2 separate regions of the Mus musculus genome follow, and region 2 is reported to be linked to region 1. Evidence: microRNA targets listed by miRTarBase, many of them from high-throughput screens and not tested one by one. Region 1 holds a microRNA gene; the other region holds the end of a gene's coding sequence.
The links. The annotated mature microRNA mmu-miR-125a-3p reads ACAGGUGAGGUUCUUGGGAGCC and lies in region 1 at 2,501-2,522, opposite strand. An mRNA with a match to its seed (bases 2 to 7 or 8) in the 3' UTR can be bound and repressed. Matches are read on the target gene's strand: a 7mer-m8 pairs with bases 2 to 8, a 7mer-A1 pairs with bases 2 to 7 and ends in A, and an 8mer does both.

Region 2: miRTarBase lists Rufy2 as a target of mmu-miR-125a-3p. Seed matches in the 3' UTR shown: 8mer at 2,547-2,554 and 7mer-A1 at 1,411-1,417.

The regions. Positions count from the first base shown.
Region 1 is chr17:17,826,924-17,833,376 of GRCm38, reverse strand. Mir125a (microRNA 125a) reads right to left here and starts at 2,565; the gene lies at 2,498-2,565. Spaca6 (sperm acrosome associated 6) reads right to left here and starts at 2,402. Exons shown (of 9, transcript NM_001162909.1): 1 at 2,115-2,402; 2 at 1,238-1,318. The coding sequence starts at 2,373. Mir99b (microRNA 99b) reads right to left here and starts at 3,189; the gene lies at 3,120-3,189. It overlaps Mirlet7e (microRNA let7e), which reads right to left and starts at 3,025; the gene lies at 2,933-3,025.
Region 2 is chr10:63,010,193-63,016,645 of GRCm38, reverse strand. It overlaps Rufy2 (RUN and FYVE domain-containing 2), which reads right to left. Exons shown (of 18, transcript NM_027425.4): 17 at 5,151-5,228; 18 at 1-5,056. The coding sequence ends at 4,913. It overlaps Hnrnph3 (heterogeneous nuclear ribonucleoprotein H3), which reads left to right. Exons shown (of 10, transcript NM_001079824.1): 7 at 104-239; 8 at 471-566; 9 at 752-844; 10 at 932-1,982. The coding sequence ends at 1,008. Among named protein-coding and RNA genes, the nearest start is that of Hnrnph3, 10 kb to the left of the region's middle.

The DNA of each region.
Region 1 (6,453 bases):
AGAGCATGATCTAGAGACAGTAGTACTCCACAGGAGCATGATCTAGAGACAGTTGTACTCCTCTTCACTATGGCCTCAGATCTGCATCAGACCCCCTCCTCTCTAACCAGAACCTTCACCTGCCCCCAAATCTGTCTCACATTAGAAAGAGCTCTCCTACTCCCAAAAGCTACCCTTGGTCTATTTTTCCAAGTTTTCAATATGGAGACATGTCCAGTCAACAACAGTATCCATATCCCAGCATTCTACATTCCTTCCATCTCTCAGGTTCCTCTGATTTTTCTTTGGACACACAGAAAATTCTGGATAGTCCTGGACACTCCTGAATAAATGGTCCCTTTCTTTGTTTGGGGGGGCCTCTGATATAAAACTTAGTGGGAACAAAATGAACCATTGTAGTTGAGGAAAAAAAAAAAAAAAAAAAAAGCCTTGAACTCCCAGATTGTGGGAATGGCCAATTTATCCTTTAATTGAATAAACAAACAAAAAGGAATTCTCACATAGCTATAATACTCCTATCTAATATACTTAAGAGACTGTGTGCCCAGCAGTTGGGAGCATCTGGTGTGATTAGTGTTAATCACATCTTTTTGAAATTCATGTCCTCAGATCCTTATGTCTGCTCCATACAGCTACATGTGTATGGTGTTCTCTAATGTCCCAGGAAGAGTCTGGCCCTGACTATGTCTATGTCTTCCCCTGAATGGCTAGCTCCACTCTTCCTATCTTCACTAGCCATGAGCAATGTGTGTGTGTGTGTGTGTGTGTGTGTGTGTGTGTGTGTGTGTGTTTTGTTTGAAGGGATCATATCTTCTATAACACCTATCTCAAAAAAGAACCATTCCTTCCCAATGAGCTCCGACCTCTCTGGGAGATAAAGAGAATGTCTCACCCTAGGAGATGAGAATGTCCCACCTTCAGAGATGACAAGAATGACTCAATCTGAGAGCCTAAGAAATTTACTATCTTACAGGTGAGTAGTTGGAACCCAGGTTGAGAGGCAGGAACACATCCAGGCTTCAGAGTCCTGACAGTGAGAATCCCAGATAGGTCACATGTACTTGACCCCACAAAAGCTTCAGACTCCCTGTGACTTATTTACTTCCCTCAGTTCCTTGCCATCTTTGACTCCCCTCATCTCTGGAGTTTCCTCAACAAATAACCTAACTCAGACAGGTTCCCAGGGTCACTTCCTCAAGATGACTTTCCCCACCACTTATGCCCATAAAACACTCACCCCGTCGTCTAGCAGCCTTCTCCTGAAGAGAAACTGTCATCTGTGTAAATTCATCATGCAGGTAGCTCCTCTCATCATAGTCTGAAGGTAGATGAGACACCATGGCACAAACCTGGTTCCATGGTGTTCTCTATGTCCCACTCATGGCTGAATATCTCCAAGCCCTGTGATCATCCCAGATTCTATAGCCCCAGTCTATTGTTCTATGTGCCCCACCTAGAGCTCTCTCTCTCTCTCTCTCTCTCTCTCTCTGTGTGTGTGTGTGTGTGTGTGTGTGTGTGTGTGTGTGTTTCCCTAACCCTAACCTAAACCTTCAATCTTGGTATCTCTCCATCCATCTAATCTCTCTCTCTCTAGGCCTGTTACCTGGTACCCTGGATCTGCTTCCTCATCTACATCTTTACTCCAACCCCATTGGTCTCTGTCCCACCTATCTCTAGATCACTGTCTCTCTATTCTTCCTGAAACTACTCTCTGTATCTATACCTATGTCCCTCACTTTGGGACTCTGTTCCTGTCTTATCTCTATGTACCTTACTCTCTGTGTGTCTCTCATCTCTCTGGATTGATTCCTAGCTCTCTGTCCCTCTCTCCAGGTCTCTAATCTCCCCACTCATCTGTGTTCCCAATCCATATCCTCTCTCTGAGCAATGCTTCTACTTTTCCATCTCTTTCCCTTACTGTCTTTAGACTCTCTCTGAGGCACTGTTTTGTCTGTCTCCACCCCACTCTGGACCTGTTTCCTTCCATTGTTTCCACCTGTCTCTCTTCTCTGTGTCTATGTCATGATCCTGTACTTGGCTTTTCTTCTTGGAGTAGCTCAAGGAATCTCCTTCCCCTCCCCAGGGCCCTGGTTCAGGAAGGAGGGGCTCCTCACTGATTTTCATGTCTTTGAGATCTTCAAAAGCCCCTTCAAGCTCATTTCTGCACAGGTTTATCTTGGTTTCCTCTCTGCCCACAAACAGCTGGCAGACACGGAGGCGTTCCTCATAGGTAGTGAAGCAGAAGAGACAGGCCCACGTGGATGCCCTGAAGATCAGCAGGAACAACAGGACAATGCTCCCTACTAAGGAAATAAGACCCATAACAGAGGGTCTCCGGGTCTGAGGAGAAGATAGTGACCTTTGTGAGGTCATTGTGGGGGAGGGGGAGCCTGTGATCAGAGATTGAGTTTCAAATGATGGTCAAGCATCAGGCTCCAGCTAGAGGAAGGTTGCCAGGGGTCACCTGAAATCCCTAAATTTGTGGCTGGGCCAGGCGCCAGGCTCCCAAGAACCTCACCTGTGACCCTGGACGTCCTCACAGGTTAAAGGGTCTCAGGGACCCAGAGGCCGGCAGTGTAGCTATGGTGGACCAGAAAAACCCTTTTCCCCAGAGGTGGGAACGGGGAAGCGAGACAGAAACAGATACCCTAAGCCCCAGAAGATAGAAAGGAACCAGGAGATGCCTCAAAAAGCTCAGAAACCCAGTGTCACAGAGATACATTCACAGCACTAGAGAAACAGAAGCTTCTAGAACCCTAGAGACATTGGCATAAGAGACAGAGACAGAAAATTCGAAAATCTCAAGATGGCATAGAGACTGCAAAGAAAAGGGATAGGATAGAATGTGAACAGAGAAGACACCCCAGCTCCTATCAAGAACTCTTGGGCAATGGTGTGGACCTGGGGTCCCCGCCGGCCCCTTCCAGTGCAGGGCGCAGCCTGGGGAAAGCTAGGAGGCCGTATAGTGATCTCCTCGGGTGTCTTCCTCAACTATACAACCTCCTACCTCAGCCCGGGGGGCGCGGCAGGTGGGCAGATTGACAGATGGATTGATGGGAGACCAGAAGTAGGGAGGGTGGGGAGGGCCGGGGAGGTCCCAGCCGCGATGGTGAGCCCCCGACACGGACCCACAGACACGAGCTTGTGTGCGGCGAAGGCCCCGCAAGGTCGGTTCTACGGGTGGGTGCCAGGACCCAGGAGTCCGGGCCCCCGGCCCCCTCCTCCCCAAGGAACCCAGGAATTCAGTCCCAGCCCCAAAATCTAAGCCCCAGCCCCCCTCTTTCAAGGCCAGAGATCCAGACCTCAGCCCTCCTCCCTCAGTCCCAAAGCTTCCTCCCTTAGACTAAGGGGTAGTGGTCACAGCCCTCCCTCCCACAGATCCAGGGAAGCAGACCCTGCCGCCTTGCACTCAATTCTCCTCAGTCCAGACCCAGGGACTCAGTCCCTAACCCTCACAGTTCTCCTCCACCCCATAGCCCTCCCCGGCAGACTCAGGGTCCAACCAGGCACATCCCTTAGAGAAGACAATCTGGTTAGAGACCTGACTTCTGCACTGCAGAAAGGATGTATCCCCGTTTGTCTTGGCAATCTGAGCCCCTTCTGTAACCCCTAAAGGTTTCATATCCCAGGCCTGAGTTAAAGGCCTTCTGAGTATCAGAAGTCCTCATGGGTCTCATGGAATAATCCTATCTTTTCCAAAACCATTCTCAACCTTTGGGGTGATAGCTATGGTCAAGGAATAATGACACCAACCAGGACCCTGTCTCCTCAACACCTCCCAACTCAGAAATGAGGTCGCTCCCAGCACACAGGAGCCCCCAGAGGGGAAGCCACTAGACCAAAGTCAGTTGTCGGCAGGTGGGAGGAGCCCTAGGACCTGCACCCACCCTGAGGCTCTGAGCACAGAACTGGTCTTCTGGGGCTCCCAGGTTCCATGTCCGTCTTCTTGTTTCTTTCTCTCCACCCATTTTTTCTTACCTTGCTCTTTTCTTATTCTCCCTTTCTTTCTCTGTTTGTATCATCCCTGATGAGGTTTTCCTCTTCGCCCATATCTGAATGCCTGCTCCTCCCGCTGTCTCTGTTCTAGCTGACCCTCTTTACATTCACCTCTCTTCCTCACCTCCTATCTTCTATATCTACTTCTCAAGTCTCTTCCTCTTTTTCACAATCTTCTTTCATTTCCTTCCCTGGCTTTGTCTCTCTTTTTCTCTGGATTCCTATCTCCCTCTCTTTTTCTCCTCCCTGCTTTTTTATTTAGTCTAGCTTCTACCCTCCTCCCATCTTCCAGTCTCCTCCCGGGGTCTCTCCCTTTCTCTCTCTCTTTTCTCCTTCCCTCTTCTCCATCCCCTCCCCCCATTCTTCTCCCTTTCTCCTTCCCTCTCTCTCTTCTCTCTCTCCCTCCCCCTTGCTGCTCGGAGCCAGGTCTGGAAATGGGGGTGGAGTGGGGATGGAGTGGGGGTGGGTTGAGAAGGGGCCCTGGGCCGGGGTAGCGACCTGCTGAGGAGGGGGAGGAGAGGCGGGAAGAGGGCGGAGAAGCAAAAGAGGAGGCGGGGGACCTGAGACCAGTCTTCGGCCTGAGCTCAAGTCCTCCTTTCCCTCCTTCCCAACCTCCCAGACCCTCAGGCGGGGGCGAGAGTCAGGCCAAGGTGGGGAGGAAGGGGAAGGGAGGAGCCCCCCCACCCCCCCCCAACCAACCTGGCTCAGAGCCCAGGCCTGGGTTCCCAGCATGCCCCGGGGCTGCCTGGGGCCTGAGGGGGGGGGGGCGGTGAGGGAAAGCAGGGAAGGGAGAATCTTTAAGATTCTCCAGCCCTGAACATCTCTCCACACACCCTGCAAGTTTCTCTTCAGAGGGCCAACTGAGGCTCACAGAGAAGGTTCCGAACTGGTTCAAGGTCACTGCCCCAGGCTTGGGTGCATCTCCCTTGGGTTCACAGGCTTGCTTTGAGGAAGGGGTAGGCGCTCGACTTCTCCCTGGGCATGGGTCCCCTCCCCCTCTTTGCAGACCCTAGGGAGCCCCCAAGGGTCAGAGAGCAGACCCAAACAGTCTGGCACCATAGCAACCAACTGGTCCCGCCCCCTTAACCCCTGGAGGGCTGGACTCCAGCTGGGGCTAAAAGGGGTGGGGGAAACCTGGTTCTCAGGAAGGAGCCCCCCACCTATGCCCCAGTCCAGGCAGAGAAGAAGAAAAATGTCTGGGGCCCTGACTCTTGGGTTCTGAAGGAGGAGGGGATTGGGGTTGGCCTATGCTTATGTGCAGGAGGTGATGGCTGGAGAGTGGACTCCTTAGTCAGAGGCAAGAAGGAAATGGGTGACCCAGACACCTGGGTCCTGGGCAGACCGCAACCAGGGCTTTGGCTTGTGGAATCTGGGCAACGGCTTGGAAGATAGACCCTGAGGGAAGAGGAAGCTGAGACCCGGAATCCCCGGTCCTCAGAGCAACCTGGACGCTGGGCCTCTCTACTACCAGACAGCCCCTGCCCCAGGCGCTGACCCGGGTCTGTCTGGCAGCCCAGACAACCTCCCCCTCCTGGCACCCTCCCACTCACACGGCTCACCCTTGACCCCGCAAAGCCCCGCAGCCCCATCTCTGCCCCTCCCCCTCCCTTCCAGCCAGACGTTAACCCTTAGGGCGCTGGAGGCACCTCCAAAGCCAGACAGTTTTCTTCCACCTCCCCTGCGGTCTCTAGCATCTGGTCCCTTACACTTTGGGATCCTGCAGCCTCCCTCTAGAATCTAAGAGATCCTTCTAGCTTCTGAAACCCGGGGACCCTAGAATCTAGTCTCTAGCTCCTTCCAACAAAGATTCAGAAGTCTGGGTTCCCAGCTCTCCACCCTCCCTCCCAACCACCACCACCACCACCCCCCTCACACACACACACACACACACACACACACACACACACACACACACACACGCCACCACAACCACCACCACCACTTCGCTATCCAAGCCAGAAGCCAGAATTCCAGGCCCAGGCTAGCTGCCTCCTCCCTTGGGGACCCTGGAGTCCGGCCCAGGTCCCATCCCCCTCCGGTTCCGCAGACTCACCGCTCCGCAGCTCCAGCGTCGCTGAGACCCAGTGTCCTCCTCCAGCCCCAGCCCCAGCTTCTCCATCCTCTCCCTCCTCAGCCGCCCGCGGCCCCTCTTCTTCCTCCCGCCAGCCCCGCCATCCTCCGCCCCCGGTCGCCCGCTGCCTCCGGCCGGTGCCTCCTCCCGGCACTGAGCGCCCGGGCTCCCCCGCCCTAGACCCCGCGGGCAGCGTGGCCTCGGACCGGCCCCCTCCCCAGGGGGCCCCTGCCCGGCCCCTCCCCACCGCCCAGCCCAGTCCGGCCTGGCTTCCTCCCACCCCCCTGCCCCGAAGCTGGCCCGAGTCCAGGGGAAAAAATTCCATCCAGCCCTAGGGAGGAGGAGCAGGGTGGAGGAGGGAGCGGGAGGGGAGGCCGGGCTAGGGG
Region 2 (6,453 bases), not on the chromosome of region 1:
TTTTAGACTCTCAGTAGTTTACTTTAGTGGACTAGGGAAAAAAAATTGAAGTATATGCTAACTTTAAATAACTGGAATTTTAAAATGAATAACTTCTGTTTAGTTCTTCTCACCGCTCAATCCAATACGTGTTCATATTGACATTGGAGCCGATGGCAGAGCAACAGGCGAGGCAGATGTAGAGTTTGTGACACATGAAGATGCAGTAGCTGCCATGTCTAAAGATAAAAACAACATGCGTAAGTGGTATCTTTGTTATGCTTGTTTTACAGGTGTGTGCAGTTTATGAAATACTGTTAAAGTGCCTGTAGTAGACCCTAGGGTTTAAAATCATTTGACCTACTAATAATGCTTAAACTTTAGTGGCTGTTTGAATTAGTTTTATAAATTAACTTTAATACCTTTGATCTAGCATTCCTTTCTCTAATCCTCTTACCTTTTCCACCCATCTTTTTTTTTTTTTTTAAAAGAACATCGATACATTGAACTCTTCTTGAATTCTACTCCTGGAGGTGGCTCTGGAATGGGAGGTTCTGGAATGGGAGGCTATGGCAGAGATGGAATGGGTATGTATAGTTTTGTATTTGTGATGGGTAGCACCTCACTGTAACACAGGATGGCCCAAAACTCACAATTCTCCTTGATGCTTCAGCATATCCTTCCAAACCTAGGTTTGTAAATTGTGTAGAATGAGCAAGTGTTGGCCACTCCACAAGGCAGTCATCCTCTGTGGCTTCTTTTCTGTGTGCAGATAATCAAGGAGGATACGGGTCTGTTGGGAGAATGGGGATGGGGAACAGCTACAGCGGAGGCTACGGTGCTCCTGATGGCTTGGGAGGCTATGGTAAGTAGTTGTTTCTGTATTGTGGTAGTGTCCTTCATTTAAAGACATGGATGTCTCCTGATGGACGGTTCTTACTGTCTTCTTAAGGTCGTGGTGGTGGAGGCAGTGGAGGTTACTATGGGCAAGGTGGAATGAGTGGAGGTGGATGGCGTGGGATGTACTGACAACACCACCCCAACGTACACGTCCTAACACACCTGCTCTACTAGACTTTCTTACAGATTTCATTTCTTTTGTATTTCAAGAACTTTATAACGACTGAAGGAATGTGTTATATTATTTGGTAAAGCAACAGACTGCGATGGGAAAATCTGTTTTCTGTAGGTTGTTTCATTTGTTGCATACTTTGACTTAAATAAATTTTTATATTCAAACCACTGATGTTGCTACTTTTTATATATAGGTACTCCTAAAGATGTGCTGCCTTCATAAGATTTGGGATAATGTATCTTACTGTTAGCATAGTGCAGTGATAGAGGGCAAGACAGCGAGTCTTAAGTAGGCATCTAGGGTAGCACTACCTTTCACCCCTGGACATACTGTAAATAAAAAGCCTAAAGATACGTTCAGGTGGTTTCAGGAACATAAGCTAATTCTGTATTCTTTTCGGTCTCTTTTATCAAGCATAGCTCTGAATAATTCAAGACGTATCTGGATTCTAAATATTCACAAATTGTATTATGAATGGGGGTAGGGGTATAAAACCCTCATAGCACTTGACTAAGATACCAAAAATGGTTCCCAAAACTTGAGTTTGTTGGAGTAGTTTGAAATTCTTAATAATGACAGAAAAACTCTGTAAATACACGGGCATTTACTATAATGGGTATATGCTTACTTGTATTTTCAGTTTCTCACCCAAGAAAACAGGGTCTTTATAATGGTATAAATGACTACATTTAGGAGACTATAAAACAATGCTGTAGCTGGTTTTGCGTCTGAAACTGGCTTTGAGTAGTTAAGTGCCCTGTGTAGAAGGAAAACGTGCTTTCTACTAATCTTTTTATTACTTTGCTCAATAAGACTTTTCCCCAAATTGGCTAATGGATCAAAATGAACCTGTCAGTGTGATCTCAGTTATTGAGTTACTTGTTTTTTGCTAGATATGTTATTAATGTAATAAATGTCAACATGGGAATGTTGTCTGTCCTAGAATATGTTGTGTTAGTTATTGGTATCAAGTATCACCATGCCTTTAATCCCAGCATTTGGGAAGCAAAGGCAATATACTGTTGGATGCCAAATTGAGGTTTCTGATCAAGTAACTACAAAGGCGTGATTTTTTTTTCCCCCATGCTAAGAAGAGAGAGTTGCCACAGCATGTCACTTGGAGCCTGTCGGCCTGAAACAGTGAGTTTCTGTCTTAATGGGTTTAACTTGGTGCCTGCACACCTCGCACAGAAGTCACAAGCACTTCAAGCTTCTTACATCTCAAAGCAGGTGGCTAAAGAGTACTTCAGTAGGTAGAGTGGTTAAGAGTACGTGCTGCGGGCTGGAGAGATGCTCGGCGGTTAAAGCACTGGCTGCTCTTCCAGGTCCTGCGTTCAATTCCCAGCAACCACACGGAGGCTCAGCCCTCTGTAACAGGATCTGTTGCCCTCTTCTGGTGTGTCTGAAGTCAGCTACAGTGTACTCATATACATAAATAAATAAAGAGTACTCGCTGCTCTTTCAGAGGGCCGTTTGGTTCCCAGCACCCACATCAGGTGATCAGCCTCGCTTAAGTCCAATGCCTTTTCCTGGCCTCGTTGGTCACCTGCACACACATGGCACACATTCACACACACATAAGCAGATACAAACAAGTCTTTTAAAGCAATATAAGTAAGTGTTAATTTCTTAGATCTTCGATTTATAAAATTCACATTTATTTTAAAAACATTACAGATCAGAATTACATTTGCAATTCCTTGGCACCATGATCACATCTTTGTGGTAGTACTGGCTAGGTAAGTAAGGGAATGACACGAGTTTTCTGCAAAATAAGAATTGTGAATGTTATGTAATAAATAGGATATCCTAAATTTAAAGTTGGGTGGTTTTATGTTTTTTGGTGGTAGTGCTGTGAATTGAGAATCCAGGCCCTTAATAGCCACGATAAGCAACCATTCTACCACTCAGCTCTATTCTTATCTCACACACAGCAGGGGAACTCGTTAGTGCTGCTCCAGAAAAGGCCCATGTTTATGACACAAATTTTGAGTGGTAATAAAAAGCACATAATAAAGTATTTGAAGTTTTTCATTTACACTCAAAAAAAAAAAAAGAAAGAAAGAAAGAAAGATGCTAGTAATCCCCATCAGTACAAAGCAGTTAAATTGTCTCTTTTTTGTGTGTGTGCCAGCAGGTTTTCACTATATATATATATATATATATATATATATATATATATATATATATATATATATATATATATATACACACACACACATACATACATACATATATATATATATATATAATGACATCTGGGGTTGGGAGAGTAACTGAGTTAGTAGAGTACCTGGCCAATGTGTACAAAGTATCAGGGGCTCCATCCCCAGCACCACATACAAACACTCAACAGCTGTAATCTCAGCAGCTGGGAGATGTGGAAGTCAGGCAGTTCAAGGTCTTCCCCTGCTGCACACCAGGTTGGAGGCCAACTTGGGGTTTCCCTGTCTCCAAAAGAAACATCTAGAAATCTGTCGGAGTGAATTTAAGTTGACCACAGAAGCTGGTAAATACTGGTTTTGTAATTTTGGCAATTTACAAAAACTTACTGAAATGTAGCAAATGAAAAGATCCTGCAGAAAAGGGGATCAGAAAAATACCCAGTCACTGAGCAGTGTTCTTGGGAGTGTAAAATCACTAGAGTTTTGAAAGGCTTTATAGACTTAAAAGTATAAGGCTGGAAATTAATATATTAAAGATCCTATCCTAAATGGTCATGATTTAAGTAACTTAATGCTCCGTGTCTCCCACACACACCCCCGCTTGAAAAAATAAGGAGCTACTATCTAAAGTACCTAATACACATAGAGGGTGAAATTCTACTGTGGGCAAGCGTAAATATGCCAGTGTAATGCTTCCTAGAAGTTATTCTTAAGAGAACTGAGGGTGGAGAAACTTAATTCTTTCATAGCAGTCCTCTTAATTTTAATGCTTAGAATCAATCTTTAAAGGCCTGTGGTCTCATTCGGTCCCCTTGTTCCCTGGGTAGGAATGTTTTCTCCTTTGGAATCTGACCCTTTATAAAAATTAGTATTTGTGATAAGGATGATGATTATAAGTGAAGGAAAAGCTAGAGGCCAGACCACTGGTCCTTTAGTCCACTATATGAAAGATGTGGGCAAGTAAAAAGGAAAGGAAGGGATTAAATCATTGGTCTTTTCCATTGTAGAGAAGGGAGAAGAACAAGCAAATAAATACAACTAAATTAGCATCTTACCAGACAATGAAGACTACACAGACCTGGGATGGAAGCACACACCTATATCCCAGCACTTCAGAGCTTAGGCAAGACAGCTTATGGTAAAAAATAAACAACTTTGATTCAGTCTGTCTTCCTGGACAGTCTGGCTGTCCTGACTGGAACTTCCTCTTTCTACCAGGGTGGCCTTACTGAACTCAGATCCATCCACCTGCCTCTGCATCTAAGTGCTGGGATTGAAGGCGTGGGCCACCATTTTAAAAACCGTTAAATCGGCATATAACATAAAGTGAATGCATTTCCAGTTTTTCTCTGAGAATTGTGACGCTTTCTAAAGTGCATTAAGAGACAGGCACCTTCAAGTGCCTACTCATCAGTTCAGAAGCAAATAAGCTGTGGCCTTGTTCTCAAAAAGGCCTCTATAAGGTAAGGCAAATGTGCATTAGCTCTGCTATCTGACCTTTTGTTAAAGGTTACTTGATAGTTGAAGTAGTGCTAAAACATGCTATCTTAAAATCTGATTAAGTACAGGGACGGAATACTAACCCATATAACTTAGAAACCTGTTTGTGAGCTGGAGGCAAGGTACAGTACTGACTGGGCACACAGCCCTCCCTCGCTGCAGGTGGTGCTGTGCAGGAGAATGGAGTTCCAAGTCATGGCATGTTAGAGGAGCATCTCTGAATGAGCATTGCATGGCAGGAATCACAGACTCGCACTGGCTTTGGTGAAGAAGGCAAAGGCAGCTCGTTGTCAGAGCAGGCATTACAGAAAATTTCTCCGCAGTTTCTACAGTGGTGCTATTAAATGGAAAAATCCGGGGAAAATAAAACCAAATTAGAAGCCATTTTTGTTGCCACAACGTTTGGAATCATTTTCACTTCTCTTACCTACCTTTCTTTTGGAGAGTGAAAATTCCTTCTCACAAAGCTTACAGTGGGTTGCATCTTTGTCTTTTAACCAGACCAGTCCCTAATATGGAAAGATGAATGTTAATGTTCAAATCAATAACACCTGCTCTTACTTCAGAAGTATGAAAATAGAAAGGCATTCTCCTGTGCACAATTCCTGTGACTCATTTTCACCACTTATGTTCAAAATGAAGGAAAGAAGGCACAAGGCTCAGACAGTAGCTCTCAGAGTTACGTCAGAAACTCGGGACATGCCTGGACAGAAGCGTGTCCAGATGTGGGCAGGGGGCCTGAGTTGAAGACAAAATAATGAACAACCCAGCTTCTACAGGGAACAGTTGATAATGTGCTGGGTTGTCACCGAATGGTAACATTCTGGTCCGGAGTAGAACACCGGGAAATAAAATAGCTGACAGGCAGTTGGCTTCTGGAGAAATGATGAGGGTGGGTGCACCTGGAAGGCTGTGGCACTTCTTGGTCTCTGGGTACAGGGCTCTGCAGGGAAACCCTGCCTCAAAAAATAATAGGGGCAGGAGAGACGGCTCAGCCACTCTAAGAGCACTGACGACTTCTGAAGGTCAAGTTCAAATCCCAGCAACCACATGGTAGCTCACAACCATCCGTATTGAAATCTGATGCTCTCTTCTGGTGTGTTTGAAGACAGCTACAGTGTACTCACATATAATTAATTAATAACAGTGTGCTCACATATAATAAATAAATAAAATAGAGAAAAGTTCAGGACAGCTATAGTGTACTCACATATAATTAATAAAGTAAGAATAGAGAAAAGTTCAGGCCAGGTGTGTGATGGCATATCTTTAATCCCAGCGCTCAAGAGGCAGGAGGATCAGCCAGAGTTACAGTGAGACCCTGTCTAGGCAAGAGTTTATTGAGGGCATGTAAGGAAGAGATGAGTTGGAGTGAGCAAACAGGTCCCACCACATCCATGCACAGTGAAAAGACATGTCACAGTGTGGCTCAGTACAGTGTTTATCTAGCATGGGCCAGGCCTGTTCAGTTCCGTTCCCTGCACTACAAAAGGGGAACGTGGTAAAAATCACATGTTGCTTTGGGTACAGAGCTAGATGCCAGAGGAAACAGCTATAAGAATTGGGAGCAACTCGGCTTTCATAATAGCAGGTTAAAGGCAAAGGGGAGCTAACACTTCTTGTTTGGAATCTTTTTAGAATGGAGGGGTCTAGGGCAGAGGCTCATCCATTAAGAGTGTTTCTGTTCTTCCAGAGGACCCAAGTTCAATTCCCAGCATCTACATGGCCATAATC